Linked DNA regions of Xenopus tropicalis. The protein of the gene in region 4 purifies or fractionates together with the protein of the main gene of each other region. This does not show direct contact. Links are inferred from orthologs where the notes say so. Each region holds a gene or a part of one and is shown on either strand. Other genes may lie near its edges.

Evidence for each region.
Region 1: the proteins of max (region 4) and sin3a purify together in Homo sapiens (affinity purification with mass spectrometry; 3 studies listed by BioGRID and IntAct, with this or other methods). This does not show direct contact. The link is inferred for Xenopus tropicalis from reciprocal best matches to the Homo sapiens genes MAX and SIN3A.
Region 2: the proteins of max (region 4) and mnt purify together in Homo sapiens (affinity purification with mass spectrometry; 7 studies listed by BioGRID and IntAct, with this or other methods). This does not show direct contact. The link is inferred for Xenopus tropicalis from reciprocal best matches to the Homo sapiens genes MAX and MNT.
Region 3: the proteins of max (region 4) and l3mbtl2 purify together in Homo sapiens (affinity purification with mass spectrometry; 6 studies listed by BioGRID and IntAct, with this or other methods). This does not show direct contact. The link is inferred for Xenopus tropicalis from reciprocal best matches to the Homo sapiens genes MAX and L3MBTL2.

What each region holds. Positions count from the first base shown.
Region 1 is NC_030679.2:93,378,902-93,383,040, reverse strand, and holds the start of sin3a (paired amphipathic helix protein Sin3a), read right to left. Parts: upstream 2,801-4,139; 5' UTR 2,695-2,800; intron 1-2,694. UniProt on the Homo sapiens protein: Acts as a transcriptional repressor. Corepressor for REST. Interacts with MXI1 to repress MYC responsive genes and antagonize MYC oncogenic activities. Also interacts with MXD1-MAX heterodimers to repress transcription by tethering SIN3A to DNA.
Region 2 is NC_030678.2:47,696,934-47,701,211, forward strand, and holds the start of mnt (max-binding protein MNT), read right to left. Parts: upstream 2,801-4,278; 5' UTR 2,540-2,800; coding exon 2,464-2,539; intron 1-2,463. UniProt on the Homo sapiens protein: Binds DNA as a heterodimer with MAX and represses transcription. Binds to the canonical E box sequence 5'-CACGTG-3' and, with higher affinity, to 5'-CACGCG-3'.
Region 3 is NC_030680.2:116,015,020-116,019,285, forward strand, and holds the start of l3mbtl2 (lethal(3)malignant brain tumor-like protein 2), read right to left. Parts: upstream 2,801-4,266; 5' UTR 2,698-2,800; intron 2,696-2,697; exon of another isoform or gene 2,678-2,695; intron 2,659-2,677; exon of another isoform or gene 2,469-2,658; intron 2,189-2,468; 5' UTR 2,156-2,188; coding exon 1,957-2,155; intron 1-1,956. UniProt on the Homo sapiens protein: Putative Polycomb group (PcG) protein. PcG proteins maintain the transcriptionally repressive state of genes, probably via a modification of chromatin, rendering it heritably changed in its expressibility.
Region 4 is NC_030684.2:119,935,303-119,939,474, forward strand, and holds the start of max (protein max), read left to right. Parts: upstream 1-1,372; 5' UTR 1,373-1,514; coding exon 1,515-1,550; intron 1,551-4,172. UniProt on the Homo sapiens protein: Transcription regulator. Forms a sequence-specific DNA-binding protein complex with MYC or MAD which recognizes the core sequence 5'-CAC[GA]TG-3'. The MYC:MAX complex is a transcriptional activator, whereas the MAD:MAX complex is a repressor.

The DNA of each region.
Region 1 (4,139 bases), on a different chromosome or scaffold from region 4:
GCCTGATTTCGACCACACTACCAAATAAATTTATATGGCTAGTTGCCATTCAGGCACATAATCCTGATGAGTTGAGGATTACCAATCCATCAGAAACATTTTTACTAGTCAAGTAAAAAGAGAATCTGCAGATTTTCTTTACTTCTTTCTGCTGTCATCATTTGGCCCAAACTTGCAGATATATACAGAGGTGGCCATGGATGTATGGCCACCTTAACAACCTAACCAACTTAGTATAAAGGAATGCCTAAACCCTCCTGGGAAAGGGAGTTACGCAAAAATGCAATATTGACAGTGCCGTTTTTGTACACGACAAAGTGAAATTAACATCTGTTTTATGAATTCCCTACCAATTTCTTGCACATGGCCTCTTGATTTCCTGGGTTATGTGACACTTTTTAAAAACTGATTAAGAACTGGGTATAAAACAGTTCTGATGTATGTTTTCTATGCACTCCATAATTTGTTTGTATGAGCTGATCTAATCTCACAGCATGTTGATGGATGTCATGTATAATTAGATTATAGATGTGCATGAAGCAAGTTTATGTAGGGATTAATGCAGTCTCTTTTGTAAAACAGGAGTTCCATACCCTTTTAAAAGGCGCAATATAACAGGTTAAAGTTGTGTTTCTATAGTCATAAAACGTAAATGTTATTTCAAATGTACTTTTTTTTAAAGAAAAATTGTATTTCTTAAAAATGTGTATGACCAATTATAACTAATGCCACTATTTATAAGAATATACACTGATTTTCTATATCTGTAACCTTGTTGTGACCTGATGGGGACCTGTCTAAATTGTTCTATTATTGTGTTGTCCTACTGTACAGCACAGCATGCACAAGCAGTGCAGTGTAAATATACATACAAGTTCACATTATTAGGGTTTACATCTTCCACCAGACATTTCAAATTTTTTTTTTCTTTAACACTATAGTATGACATTTTTAATCATAATTGCGACATCCCAAGGGCATTAGGTCCATAGAAAGGCACAGCAGCATTTATAATGTTTCAGTATGCCATTCATGAGTTGGAGTTGTTATATTCCTAAAATAAACGTAGTAAAATGTCTATAGCCTATGATAAAGCAATGCTGCCTGGTGCTGACTAATCAAAAGTGTGATGTTTCATAGCCAAGATGCAAACCTTTCTCTCTCGTACTTAGCACACACAAAACTTGATGTCAGATTGCAGAATTGCCTCTAAATCAAGGATAAGCTACCATTAGGGTTCCGACCACAGTGTCTATACTGTTTTCACACATTGTATTAATCAAAAAATGTTTGGAGACAAATAAGACGATAAACGTATATGAAACTTAAGGCTACATTTCTGGGGAGGAGTATAAGAAGAGCAGCCTCATTGTCCTCAGCTCCGCCCCTTGGCTAACGTCGGCCCATAAAGTAAAGCTTATTGGACAGCACTTCCGGGTACAACACAACTAGCCAACCATTGCCTGCTATCAGCTTCCGCTTCCTATGACCAGGAGTGACCAGCAATATGCACGCCCTACCAATAGTGTTAAGCCACGCCTTACACGGAAGAGAACACGGAGTCGATGCCTAGTGCCAGCGAATAAGGGCGGTGCAATCACTCTGCCCAATGAAAATACAGGATGCCTAGGTACTGGAGAGGGCCAATAGCGTTTAGATAGGGCGGGGCCAAAAAGGATAAAGCTGAGGCACGTACCATCTCAGAATTATTAAGCGCGTTAGGAAGGGAGAGAGTAGAGGTTTTAGCGTGAGTGATAGCGGCTAGTTTTCGTTATGCGTGCAGAAGGCAATTAAATTTAATAGTACATTGACCAGAAGACATGGAACAGTGTAGTGTAAGGCAGGCTATTTAGGAGCCGCTTCCACATAGCGCGGCTGTTCAGGGGTGTTTTCTGCTGCCTCCCAGACAATACAGTCACCTAACTGCAATGAAGCACCACCCCCCAAACCCCATGTCTATACTCCTATTAATCTCATGCAAAAACCGAGCTCACATTTTCCCAAAATTTGGTCTCGTGTGATATTCGGGGAGAAATAAACTTAAAGGCACAAATGATTTAAGCGTCAGCGTTGAACCTCCGCCTTCCATCAATCGCTGTAGGTCCCCCAAACCCCAGCACCACGAACTGCGTTAACCCCCCACCCCCCAAAAAAACCTAAGGTCATTTTAAGAACATAAGGGATCCCTAATTCTTCCCTCTCAGACAGGACAAACCAGCCTTTGCCCATGCCAACTGACTGGGCAGTAACAGCCCAGCTGGCTCGGGTGCATAACATTTGTCCCAGTCTCAGCCCTACTCCATCTATCCATCTCCCGGCCTGGCGGTCATCTCTATACAGATGAGAGCATATTGGCAGGCATATTTGGACAGGTAGCCACATGGCCACCATCGATTCCCCTAGGGCAGGGATCTCGCCACCCACAGCTATTAGGCAGCAAACTCTCGCGTGGCTCTGGGGATTCCAGTCCAACAGCAGCTGTTTAGGCGCAGGTTGGAGAACGGTGCCACGGGGGAATGTGTATCCGGACACCCTGTACATACGAGGTGCAGCACGGCTGGACTCGTAACTCGCCGCCTGACCCCATCTGCGAAAAGGCAAGCACTTCGATGTGTCCCACTGGCCTTACTACAACCCCAGCGCCCCAGTCCAAACAAAGAATGGCTCCCTTTAGGATAAACAAGAGGCACATACCTTCCAGAAATAAATATACGGCCACACCAAGTCAGGGACTCTATGCTAGGATAGATACACCCCCCCCGTTTTTTTCCAAGACTCCTAGTTCTAGTCCAGCCCCCTACAGAAAAGAGGGTGGGTGTGTACCATAGAAAACCTTAGAGGGGAGGGGAACTCATTTAAACTCGACCCCGCCTTCTTGCCATATAGAGACAGCGCTCCGTCATGGGGGCTTAGCCACCCGCCCCCTTGAAGGGCACGTCCCATTTGGCTCTGGTGCTGTTTGTTCTCTCCTTCCTTACTAAGGCTTGTAGAGTCTAATGTTAATTTTGTAGTGTTACTCGCGGCCCTCAAGCTGACTTAGAACTCTTATCAGATTCAATGACCGCTGTATTTGTTTCATAAGTAGTAGGGCTCTGTTGGGCGGGAGGTTGTGAGAGACCGCGGCTACAGCGCGCATCCCAAATATGTTTATGTGACAGGTGCGCGTAATGATTTTGGACGACAAGAGCGAAATTATAGGAATATGGAGGGGCTGAATGTGCACAGTAACGACATACCTCAAATCAATATAGAATTTTTTTAAAAAACTACAACGTCCAAAATGCATTGCAGGTACGACACAAAAGATATCGCCCACAATGCACTGCTTTTTAATACTTACATAGATGAAAACTATGGAACCCAGAATGCTGTGCGGTGCTTGAATCGCGGAATAGGAAACGTTTGTCGGATGGTGCAGAGCGAGCGGAAAAGGTCTAGGTTTTTAATAGCCCAGAAAACATATGGAAAGAGGCATAACAATATTGACAGATTATTATTTTGTGTTCTTTCATATTGTCTGCCCTGCACCTTATATGTGGAATAGAATATATAGCGCTGCACTGCTTTGTCTCTGCAACTGACTGTAATATATTGTAAGTTTTCTTAGCCATAGATTGTAAGCTGTACAGAACAGGAATCTCCATACTCTTGTCTCTTTGTTACTTAGCTCTGTGACATATTTACTACAGCTGTACTTTATTAGTATTAATCGTACTTTGTATTTATTGACCTATTATTGTAATGACCCCCTTGTTTGTTTTAATTAAATTATTTTTCTTCTATTCATCGCTGTATACATACATAACACATGTTTGTGTTAATTAAAAAAAAAAAAGAAACCAAGATAAAATCTGTAAGAACTTATTCCACCTTTTTTTACAAAATTGTGATCTGTACAAAGAAGTTGAAAACAAATCAACAGTTTAGTGAAACAAATCATACAAAACCTGGTTGCATTAGTGCGCACCCCCTAAACTAATAACTTGGTTGAAGCACCTTTTGATTTTATTAACAGCACTCAGTCTTTTTGGGTCCATCTGTTTGGCACATTGAGACTTTGCAAGGTTTGCCGACTCCTCTTTGCTAACATTTTCCAGATCTGTCAAATTGTGAGGGCATCTGTGCACCGCTGTCTTCAG
Region 2 (4,278 bases), on a different chromosome or scaffold from region 4:
ATTCCATCTCATGCGTATGTGTAAATTAACCAAGTGCCCTGGTACACTTGTCCTGTGTGCCCCAGGTTGGCCATCTGCCCTTTGAGTAGGCACCCCATGTGGGCCACCAAAATACTTGGTGGGGAGGTGCACCTTTGAACTTATAGTACAGTTTTCCCCATCTGGAGTGCAGCCCTCAGCTGCAATAAAGGAAACCATTTTAGGAATTGTTGCCCTTGAAGTTACCTTAAGTAAACCCTTGCTAAAATACATTATTAGACCAATTAGATTAATTATAAACAGAAAACCTATTTTATAGAAAGGCACTATTTCAAAATTGAGGCATTATACAAGTAACCTGCCCAACCCAGAGTGAACATATATGAGCCAAAATCAGAGCAGAACAATGGGGAAAATCTGGTACATACTGACCCCAACAAGGAGTAAAATGTTAAGGTAAAATGACAGTGGGAGAGTCAATATGTTTGGCACCTCCTGGTGATTCTAATTATTATCATGGGTATCCTGATTGCTTGCACTGCTACAACTCCTTGCACTTTCATTTTTAATTTGTCCATTACTGCCTTTTCGATCAATGGTAATCAATAGACACTTTTACAGGGGCATAGGGATCATGCCATGTATATTAATATATTACAGATGACAAAGGGGCGGAGCCAAAAGTGACATTAGCAAGTTGAAACTTCCTGGTATTTTCCCCAGCCAGCTTTAGTGTGATAACCAGTAGTACAATGTGAGACAATAATCACATGTATGCAGTATGCCACAGTTTTAGTGTTGTGTATTTGTTTATCTTTCAAATATATGTAACCTACAATATTCTGTGTAGCACTGAATAAAGGAGGATGGTGTCATTAAAGTAAAATACTCATTGCTGCTGCCCCTGGAATAACAAATAGCCATATTCTCCCAGGCATAGCTGAAAAGGCACAAAGGCCAGACAGAGAATTAGCAGCTTGTGCTCCAGTCAGCACTGCAGGGTGTAAATGAACGTAACGCTGCACATCACAGGCAAATGAATGCACTATAAAGAATGTAGGTAGAAAACAAACCAGCCCCCATGTGGGAAATACAAAGCTTGGTGTGTAGCTGCGCTAGCCGCCCCATGGCCTCCCTCTACAGGTGCAGCTGCTCTCTCCAGGTGTCAGTACAGACTCTATGCTGGGAATCAGAAACCCCATGGAAAGGATATGTTACACATTATATCAAGCCTTTCCTCCCTAGTGCCTAGCCATTAGCCAATGCTCTAGCCTGCAATGTAATGGTGTTATTTGGGCATGGGCAAACTACAGATGCCATAGGCACCTCACACACAAACCACTAGACTCTGTCCTAAAATGGGCGGCTCTGCCAAAATGCCCACCTCCTTACTCAGAGAATAACTGCATATTACTAAAGGCCACAGAGAATAACCAGGCCATTATTAACGTGACATTAAAGGCAAAGTGAAGGGTTAGTGCTTAGAAGCGCAGCCTCCCCGGGGTGGGAGTATTTGCAGCGCTATGGCGGGGGCAGGAGGTGCGCCGAGAGGTACGTACATCTGTAACCTGCGGCTCCCCCGCCTATGAGATTGTTTTTTCCTCTTCCCAGCAGGGTGTGAACGCCATGGGTCATGCTATGTGCGTGCAGTCCCTCCTCGCCACTCCCCCCGCCGCCCTGTCTGCCTCTCTGTCCCGCTCAGCCCCCCCCCTCTCTCTATGCGGGAGTGTCCTCACTGCACGTGGGGGGAGGGGCGGCGCCTGACACGTCACCTTCACACAGTAACCCGAGGGCTGCCAGCCTTCTAAAACCGAAGCCCCACTCCCAGGCAATAGAACCAGCAGGGAAATCACCAATTCGTATTAGTATAGCCCACACAAAAAGAATAATAGCGGTAACATGTAATCTGGACGCAAGAATACGCGAGAAGCTCCTGAAGTGTGAGCGCTGCTGGCGCTGAAGAGGTTAAGGGGCGGCGCTGCGGGAAGTCATATGACAGGCCATGTCAGGGTATTAGCAAAGGCTGCTGCTGGAGGATTGCCACCGCCCTGATACTGGACAAGCTAAGACTCAGACCCAAAGGGGGAAATTTATTCCCCAAGCCGGTCAGCCACAGAGATTTTGTGAAACAGCTCACATACCGAGCGTTAACGCTGCATAATCCTGGGCAATAACGCGCAGTCATGTTTTAGTCCCTCAAACTGAACAGCTTACACACTCAGCACCAATAGTATCTCAAAATGCACAGTGACACCCCAGATACTGCCGAATACAACCCCTAAGCATCTTCTAGCAGTAGGAGTCTACTGGAGGATGATGGGAGGTGTAGTTTAGCAGCAGCTGGAGTGTGACGGATAAACCATAATGATGCTTCTTAAAGAACACTTCCATGATCATAAAATGCTCCCACCTTGTACCGATCTCCCCTGCCAGCCCGGCTACAGCCCATCATTTTGCCCCAGGGCCCCCAAAAAGCTTCCTTACCACGTGTTCTCTGCTGTTGCTGCTGGGATTGCCATTCCAGGAACAGGGCTGCTTGCAACAGTGTCTCCAGGCTCATTTCTCAGCAGCTTCCACAGTGATCCCCTAAAATCTTCCGCTTTAATTGTATCTCCCCCCAGTCCGTCAAAATAAAAAGATCCAGAAGCGGAGGATGGCTGCGCGGATCTCCTCACCCTCCCTGTGTCGGGGGAAATATGACTGAATAAATGAAATGCAATGGAAAAAAAATCCAACCCAGGTTCCCCCCCACGGATCCTCCAGACAAGAAAAGGGTTGCAACAAGATGGCGATGAGTAACAGAAACACAACAAGAAAAAAGGGACTCACAGAGCCCTCAGCTACTCTCGGGCAGAGGGAAAAGCCGGAGTGCGGACGCACTGGCCCTGGCGTGTGACTCACAGGGAGGAGGAGGAGGAGGAGGATGTGGGGCTTTTGCTTTCTGCTCACTAGCAGGAATCACACCCTGCTCTGCTGCGCAGGAACCTGAAGGGGACGGACTGACTAAGCAGCCAAAAGGCTGCCAGTGCCATAAGAACAGCTATTGATTTCTGTGGAACTTGTGATTTTGCGTTGTGACATGGAGACACCTTAAAGGTGGCCATACACTGGCAGATTTAAGCTGCAGATTTAAGTCCTTTAGACTAATTTGACAGCTTATCTACCCATGTATGGGGTCCCCCCCCCCAATATCTGGCTGAAAAGTGGCCAGGTGCCGATCAGGCAGGTTTGATTTTCCTGTTGGATTGGGTACCGCATCTGCTCACTATTGTGGTTTTCGCTCTGATGGTGCCTATGTGCGTCATTGTAATCCGCCCAATATCACCCACCTTGGGTGGGCATATCGGGATAAGATCTTAACATGTATGGCCACCTTATTAAATAGGGAACAGTCACCTCAATCTAGATTTCCCACTAAATCCTACATATTTATGGCAGAAAAAAAACAGTTGGATTCAATTCCAGGTAGGAGACTGTCTGCAAGGAATTTGTGGGTATTCCAGTCTCCAAATGCAGGCAAGTTAATTGGCTTCAGATAAACTCAACCATAGTAAGCCTGTTATAGGGACCTAGAATGTAAGCTCCACTTGAACAGGGACTGATGGCAATAAGGCTGCATCCTTTTGTAAAAAATAAAAAATACTGGCCTTTCTATAGTTTTTTCTTTCTGCCCTATGAATAACATTGGGATCAAGCATCATTTTTCCCTGCCAGGTGGCAACCCCAGAAGGGAATGATGTACAGTGTCGGACCCCCAGGGGCCCACTCTCCAAACTATTTTTCCTCCTTTCCTCACCCAACCTCTTTATTCTCCTAGTCTCTTTTATTTACATGCTAACATCTATTCTTCCATCTATTTCTCCTCTTTGTTCCCATTCAGAAATAGGGAATGACCATGCAGCAAGCCGAATGGTCAGGAGTAGGAGGGCCGACTGACACCTGGGCCCACTGGGAGTTTTCCTGGTATCCTGTGGCCAGTCCGAAACTGATGATGTATAATCTCTGTGAAGCACTACAAAATATGGCAGCACCATATAAAGGATAATAATCATAAAAATATTACGCTCTTGGGGAGAACAACATGACTCTCCAGGTATTAAAAGCATCCCATGGAAACTAGTGGGCTATACATTGCTTTTCCCTGGTAACTAAGCATTTTTATTAAGGCAAGAAATCATGCTGCCCTCACACTTAGATGTTTCATACAATTAGGCTTCAGACTACAGAGTTTTAACAGCTGTCTGTGTGTGATCTCTTAGGCTGATGCCACACGAGGCGTAGGGCTGATATTTTCGGCAA
Region 3 (4,266 bases), on a different chromosome or scaffold from region 4:
CAAGGCTCATTCACAGCCAGACTCACTGTCTGATCCCTTCAGTTACAATAGTATCCCTCAGCCTGTAAATAGAGCATATGTATGCTGATCCAAGCTGACAGTGCAATGGTGCACAGTGCGCAGTCACAGTGGGCACACTGTAATACACACAGCAACTATCATGGACTGATCTCAAACCTGCAAATGTGACTCCTTAGTAATTGCTGGCTCTAATTCATACATAATCAGACCAAGGATTTTTTTTAAATGTTATAAACAATTTCTTTAAGGAACACACCCAGCTCCTACAGTTTCCTAGCAATACAAATATATGTGTGAACTTCATTGTAACCAGAATCCTTAAGGCAAGCACAGTTATATAAAACAGCCATCACTTTAAAACATGCAAAGCTTTAATAACAAAGCAACAATGTCTTTAAAATGCCCTACCCCCCACCACAACCCTAATAACATTCAAATTAAATACAATGGTACCCTGCTTTCATGTTGAAGTAGGTTAGCAGCCGATGTCTGGCATCCACGGGCTCTGTGATTCTTTTGAGGCTGAGACAGGAGGTGGCTATACACGCACCGATAATATCGTTCGGTGCATGGCAAGTCAGCGAGGCGACTGATATCGCAGGAGGCTGCTGATATCGTTCAACTCGCCGATTGGATGGGTTAGAGGATTTTGATTGGGTGCCACTGAAGGCACCCGAGCAAAATCTATGTTCAGGGCTGAATCGGCAGAAGGAGGTAGAAATCCTATTGTTTCTACCTCCATATCTGACAATTCATCCCTGAACGTCAGTGGAGGGTTGGAACAATCTTTTGTGTGACCGATGGTCGCACGAAAGATCAAAAATCGCCACGTGTGTGGCCAGCTTTAGGGTAGGGATCTCTTCAGTAGTCAATTTCCTTTCAGTAAGAACCATGATAAAACAAAACGCCTTTTGCTCTTTCTGTCTTGGAGAACTGGGACAGTAACACCAAAAATGAAATTGTACCAGAATAATTAAGATATTATGTACTACTGCACTGGTAACAGTTGTGTGTTTCAGCTGTGTTTCAGAAACACTTATAGTTTATATAAACAAAGATGTTCTGTAGCCATGGGGGCAGCCATTCAGACTGTAGAAAAGGAGAAAGGGCACAGGTTACATAGCAAATAACAAATGAGCTCTGTAGAGTACAACAGTGTTTTACTGAGCTTATCTGTTATCTGTTATGTAATCTGCACCATTTATCCCTTTTTCAATTTGAACAGCTACCACCATGGCTACACAGCAGCTTAGTTCATATAAACTATAGTAATGTTTCTGAAGCAAACACACGACCTTTCCGGTGCAGGGCAATGTTCACTATTTCCTTTTTGGCTATGTGCACAAAAACATTATTTTGTGGGTACATTTTAAACTTATATGCACTTATTTAAACATGCAGTGCAGTGCTCAGGTCAGAATAAATTCTTTGTGTGCATGGCAGGCCTGAAATGGCAATCGCCAGAGGGGCTAATGTAAGATGCCATAGACAGTCACTATTTATTGAGCTGGTGGGGGAGCTGTTTGGGCTTCTGAGTAGTTGAAATGTCAGCGCCTATTTCAACTCCCAGACCAGACCTGTTACAATTTGTTGTGTGTGTTGGCTCAGAATGTGTGCACACACACTATCTCGCAGTTTAAAGGTAAAATTGGTGCAGGGCAATATTACATAATAATTTAGTACACTTTCATTTTTTAGCGAAAATTGGAAAAATTGGCATTCCTTTGGTACAGACTACTCAATGAAAGAGATCATAAGCCAACAACTAGTAGTGGCCTAGTCAAAATGACCTAGTTGTTTGGTACTTAAATATATTTAATGGAAGGCTTTTTATTGTTGATCAAAAAACAAAATGCTGACATATTTTTTGCTATAAGGCCATTATAAAGACCTTCCAAAACTGCAGTGTAATCTTTCATAATCAAATGTATGTACCTGGTTCAGCACTATTCTCCTCATTGGCCTTGTTAGCGCTAGAAGATGATTGCTGCAGTGATGAAGACCCTTCATTTTCCTCTTCATCTAAACTTGAATCCCCAAGACCAGAACTGATATCACTAAGTCCACTGCTATATTCTCTGTAACTGTCATAGCCACTGAAAAGATCATAAACATCTTCTGAATCGCCTTCCATTGAAAGATCCTCAAGGTGCCGGGATGAGCCAATCTGTGAACAGTTAATGGCAATCACCATCACTCTCAGCAAAACAAATGATATCATTTACCACAAACACCAAATGTCATACAAATTCTATAATCCAGATATCCCAATTAATCATGTTTTATTGTACTAGAACAAAAAATGCTCTCAGTGACAGTCAAGCCTACTCATTTCCCATTGGCTGACGCTCTGCTAAGTAGAACATATAAGGTTGATTGGTTAATTTAGTAGGTTAGAAAATGTATTTTATAATCTATTACATTAGCCAATAAAAGGTTACACCTACCCAACAATTTCTTGTTTAAATCTATGGCTGACAAAGTATAACATTGTGCCATGCAGATACGAGTGCTACTCTCTATTTAACAAGAATAAGGGAGATGATGTCTTATTTTAATGTGTATAAAAACAAGAAAATCTATTTTTCCCATACTACACCCTCTAATCCCAGTTAATGCGAGTGCCCAACAGTCCGCTTTCCCTGACACAACTCACAGTCCCAGTTCGCTACTTACTCCTGCAGCTGCTCACTACAAGCCTCATCCCACAATCTCTCACAAAATCCCGACTCCACAAATCTCGCGATATTCGGCGTCACAACTGCACGCAAGCGTAATGACGCACCGCGTAGCATAAATAGAAGCGGCTAGTTGCCCGCAATGTGTTTTTCATCTGCTTGCACTTCCTGCTTTTGTAATTACTTCATTCTTTTTGTTAGTTACCCGCCGTGCTCTCCTCCACCTCAGCTCCCAATATTTCCTCAGAAGTCATTTATCATTTCTAAGCTTTGACTTGTGCTCGGGAACTTAAAAATGACTTTATCCTGGTTGCTAATAGTCTCTCTGCCATCAGAGTGCTTTCTCCCCATTTGATCAAAAAAAGGAAAAAAACAAATTGGTGCAAACTAAGGTCAGGGTGAAGTTGATCATTTTCCAGCTTTTGCACGTTTATATATTTTTGTGCAGAATTAATTTAGGGTAAAATTGACCAAAAGTAATAAGTTTCTTTAGTGCTAAATAATGTGCACCGATAAGTTCAGTAGCAGAAGGTTCTGGGGCTCTTAAAGGAACAGTAACACTAAAAAATGAAAGAGCTTTAAAGTAATAAAAATATAATGCACTGTTGCCCTTCACTGGTAAAACTGGGGCGTTTGCTACAGTAACACTACTATAATTTATATAATAAGCTGCTGTGTAGCCACGGGGGCAGCCATTCAAGCTGGAGAAAAGGAGAAAAGGCACAGGTTACATAGCAGATAACAGATAAGTTCTGTAGAATACAAAAGTGTTTTATCTGTTATCTGTTATGTAACCTGTGCCTTTTCTCCTTTTTTCCAGCTTGAATGGCTGCCCCCAGGGCTACACAGCAGCTTATTTATATAAATTATAGTAGACTTTCTGAAGCAAACACACAACTTTTACCAGTGCAGGGCAGCAGCACATTATATTTTAGTTACTTTTATACACTTTCATATTTTGGTGTTACTGTTCCTTTAAAGGGACCAGTGCTGGCAGGGGTTTTCCTAGTTTATTACAGAAGCTGTTACCCATAATTATGCTTTTTTTTTTGCAGCCACAAAGAAGGGATTATGGCAATTTGAACTAAAAACATTGCATTATAGGTAAATATTTTTCCATGCATGCAACAAAATTTTCAGCTGGGTCCTCATCATGTTATTCACAGAATCTTCATTATGTCTTCTATACCATAAATATCCTGGGTCTGTGGTGTGCAAGCACTCACTATCAGCCATGTGACTACACAGTTTGGGGCGTATCAGTAATGTGAGGGTGGAAGTTTGGAATGAGAAATTTGTGGCGTCATCTTAACTAGTAATTCCACCTTAACTTTGCATACAAGGCTCTGCTCTGGCCAGATTTTAGGGACCTTAAAGGAACAGTTCTGTGTAAAAGTAAAACTGGGTAAATCAAAAATGTTTCTAATATAGCATACCCCCCAACTGTCCCGCTTTTCGCGGGACAGTCCCGCTTTTTATGGCGCATCCCGCTGTCCCGGATAGTTCCATGAATGTCCCGCATTGCGGGACATTCATGGAACTATCCGGCACAGAGGGATGCGCTTGC
Region 4 (4,172 bases):
CAAGGGGCCTGTACGTTTGTATAACTTTATAAAGCGCTACAGGAATGTGGAGAGATGTACATGTATGGGATCTGTTATCCAGAATGCTCGGGACCTTGGGTCTTCCGGATAAGGGATCTTTCCGTAGTTTGGATCTCCATGCTTTACGTTTACTAAAATGTCATTTAAACATGAAATAAATCCATTAGGATTGTTTTCCATCCAAAAGGATTAATTATATCTTAGTTGGGATCAAGTACAGGTACTGTTTTATTATTACAGAGAAAAGGGAATCATTTAACCATTAAATAAACCCAATAGGGCTGTTCTGCCCCCAATAAGGGGTAATTATATCTTAGTTGGGATCAAGTACAGGTACTGTTTTATTATTACAGAGAAAAGGGAATCATTTCTAAAAATTAGAATCATTTGTTTAAAATGGAATCTATGGGAGATGGCCTTTCCGTAATTCGGAACTTTCTGGATAACAGGTTTCCAGAAAATGGATCCAATACCTGTACAATCATATAACAGTACACACGGGGAAGGCACATATTATAAAAAACATAACAAATAAGTATATATACACAGAGATTAAGCACCATTTGGTATGAGGCACAGTAGGAAAGCCTGTAGAGCTTACAATCTAAGCTTGTAAAGGGTAGTATTTTTTTTTTTTTGCTTTATTCAGCTATTTCACACAATACAGTAGGCACCACGCAGGGCTTTTCTATACTCTATATCTGCCGAGCTGACAACAGGTGCACGAAAAGGTTGCTATGGCATCTGCTTCGTTAGCAACACGCTTGGTGTCGGTATCTTTTTGTTAGAAATGGCATAAAACGTCATTTCCCATCATATAATTTCTGCCCCCGGAACAACCAAACTGTAGATGTGATATACATAAATACGCTTACGACTTGAGATACACCCCTAAACGATATAATATCAGTTTGTATTAGTCCAAAGCGGATGAAGATGAAAAGCCCCACTACTTCCCTAAGCCTCTCTCCCATCTCCCCCGCAGGCCCTTCCCTTGTCACTACACAACAAGCCCGTAGCCGCCACAGCAGCCCAGTCACACAAACACAAACTCGCCCAGCTTCCCGTCTATACACGTGTCTCCAGCCCACTTCCGGGAAGCCGCTACCTGTGTAGACTACAAATCCCATCAGCGGCCTGGAACGTCGCGCCTGCGCAGTAAAGCTTGTTTGCTCCCAAGGCTATAAGGGAGTTGTAGTCAATTTCCGTGTTTAGGCGCATAAGCTGGCAGAGCGCTTCCGGCCCTAGTGAACTCCATTTCCCAGCATGCAGCGGGCCGGCTCTCTGAGAGGCTAGAGCTCTGGCTAATGATCCCTAGCAGTGTGGAGTCACGTGTGGCTTCCGTTGGTGTGTTTTCCTGGGCACAGAGAGGGTCTCTTCCCCCCCTCTCTCCCTCCCTTAATTCGGATTTTATTTTTTTTTTCTTTTTGCCCATAGTGTTTGTTTTCAGGCCCGAGCAGCCTCTCCCCTCCTTCCCATCACTATAGGAAAGCATGAGCGATAACGATGACATCGAGGTGGAAAGCGACGTGAGTGCGGGTTCCGCTTCCCTTTAACTTGGCTTTATATGGGGTGGGGGCGGGGGTGGCTGTGTTGTCCCTTGGAGAGGGGGCAACTGTCTGTTTAGCAGGGATCACCGCTTTTGGTTCTAGCTGTAACAGGAACAGTGTTTCCTATTCTGTGTGTGCCTAGGTCCTGCTGCACTACAAATCCCAGCATCCTCAGCAATACGGAGAAGGTTTTCGGGTAGGGCAGAGAGAGGGCATTTGTCCTGGGCTTCCAGTATCTCAGGGCATCTTGTTTTATTTGTTAGGACTCTGTATCCCTCCTGCACTGTATGTAGTATAACTTGTAGCATCCACCGGCCCTCCAGCTGCTCTGCAATCCTTAGCATCTCCCCTGGCAGGGATGGGAGGGCTGCAGCCCAACAGCTGGAGGGTCCTTAAATCAATATCCCCATTATGATATTATTATATACTAGGACCCCAGCATTCCTTCAGTGCCCAGGGTACCTTCATCAGTCTGGGGTTTATTGTTATTTATATAGCACTGAAGTATCCCATCATTCATATCAGCCTGGCACCAGTGGAGCTTACTATCTAAGGTCCCTATCACATTCACCAACACATAGGGGCCGATACATTAAATTACAAATTAAGAGTATAATTGGCGACAATTCGCATTAAATACAAAAATTTCTAATGTGCGTTAATTTTGCGAAGAGTCGCGTTGTACTTGTGCGAAAATATCGTGGTACGATGCAAAAGTTACGAAATTTTCGTATCCGTACGATCGTAAACGGCTCAAAAACCTTTCTGACTTTGACCCTTCAGTGGAGGATTTTGGAAGTCTCCCATAGGACTCAATGGCACTCTGCAGCTCCAACCTGGCCCAAGGAAAGTCTCCCATAGGGCTCAATGGCACTCTGCAGCTCCAACCCGGCCCAAGGAAAGTCTCCCATAGGGCTCAATGGCACTCTGCAGCTCCAACCTGGCCCAAGGAAAGTCTCCCATAGGGCTCAATGGCACTCTGCAGCTCCAACCCGGCCCAAGGCAAGTCTCCCATAGGGCTCAATGGCACCCTGCAGCTCCAACCTGGCCCAAGGAAAGTCTCCCATAGGCCTCAGTGGCACTCTGCAGCTCCAACCCGGCCCAAGGAAAGTCTCCCATAGGGCTCAATGGCACTCTGCAGCTCCAACCTGGCCCAAGGAAAGTCTCCCATAGGGCTCAATGGCACTCTGCAGCTCCAACCCGGCCCAAGGAAAGTCTCCCATAGGGCTCAATGGCACTCTGCAGCTCCAACCTGGCCCAAGGAAAGTCTCCCATAGGGCTCAATGGCACTCTGCAGCTCCAACCCGACCCAAGGAAAGTCTCCCATAGGGCTCAATGGCACTCTGCAGCTCCAACCTGGCCCAAGGAAAGTCACGATATTGAAGCTTGAATGAATAATGAAACTTTTGTACTCGTTGCGACAAATACGATTTTGTCGTGCAAATTGTTGGAAAGTACGAAAAAGTTGCGAAAAAAACGCACAGTTCTAAAACAATTTTTTTTGTATTCACACTCAATTGTACTTTGATGAATGTGCCCCTTAGTGTAAACATCGCATACACACCAGGCAGCCCCAGTAGATGTGTAATGATACCTGCTCTGTATGGTGGGCATGGGACTCTGGGACTAGTGCCTTTATTACTGACCTGTTTTCTATGTTGTTGGTACCTATCCAACAATAACTGCAGGGTGGTAAGATAGACACCTCGGTGAAGGGCAACAAACGTGTATGCATACCCTATTATTTTGGAAGGGTAACAGCCAGAGGTTATACTATGAACAGGTGTCTGTATATATTTCTGTTGGCCAGACTCATGGGGGGGGCGGGCGGAGCTTCATCATTTCTCCACTGGTTGTTTGGTGTCCCAGTGAGACAGGCTTGCTTGTTTGTTGTCCATTTTTTTCTATATTACCCTTGATATTAAATATTTTGGAGAGGATCAGATTGTAGGAAATGGTGATGTTAGGCATAGTTGTTCATATTACATAGTTACATAGGGTTGAAAAAAGACCATTGTCCATCAAGTTCAACCCTTCCAAGTAAACCCAGCACACACAACCTATACTTACCAATCTATACACTCACATACATAAACTATAGATACAATCATTAATACTAACTGTAGATATTAGTGTCACAATAGTGTTTGATACTATGCTTGTTCAAGAACTCATCCAGGCCCCTCTTATAGGCATTAACAGAATCTGCCATTACAACATCACTAGGAAGGGCATTCCCCAACCTCACTGCCCTCACTGTGAAAAACCCCCTACGCTGCTTCAAATGGAAGCTCCGTTCCTCTAATCTAAAGCGGGGGCCTCTGGTGCGTTGATTGTTTTTATGGGAAAAAAAGAACATCCCCTATCTGCCTATAATCCCCTCTAATGTACTTGTACAGAGTAATCATGTCCCCTTTAAGAAGGACCACATCCAGGCAGTAGGCTGTCCTGGAATACTAGTAGTGTTCATGGCTTTGTACTATTAGGGCTCTGGCACACGGGGAGATTAGTCGCCCGTGACAAATCTCCCTGTTCATGGGCGACTAATCTCCCTGAAATGCCATCCCACTGGCAAAAATGTAAATCGCCGGTGGGATGGCA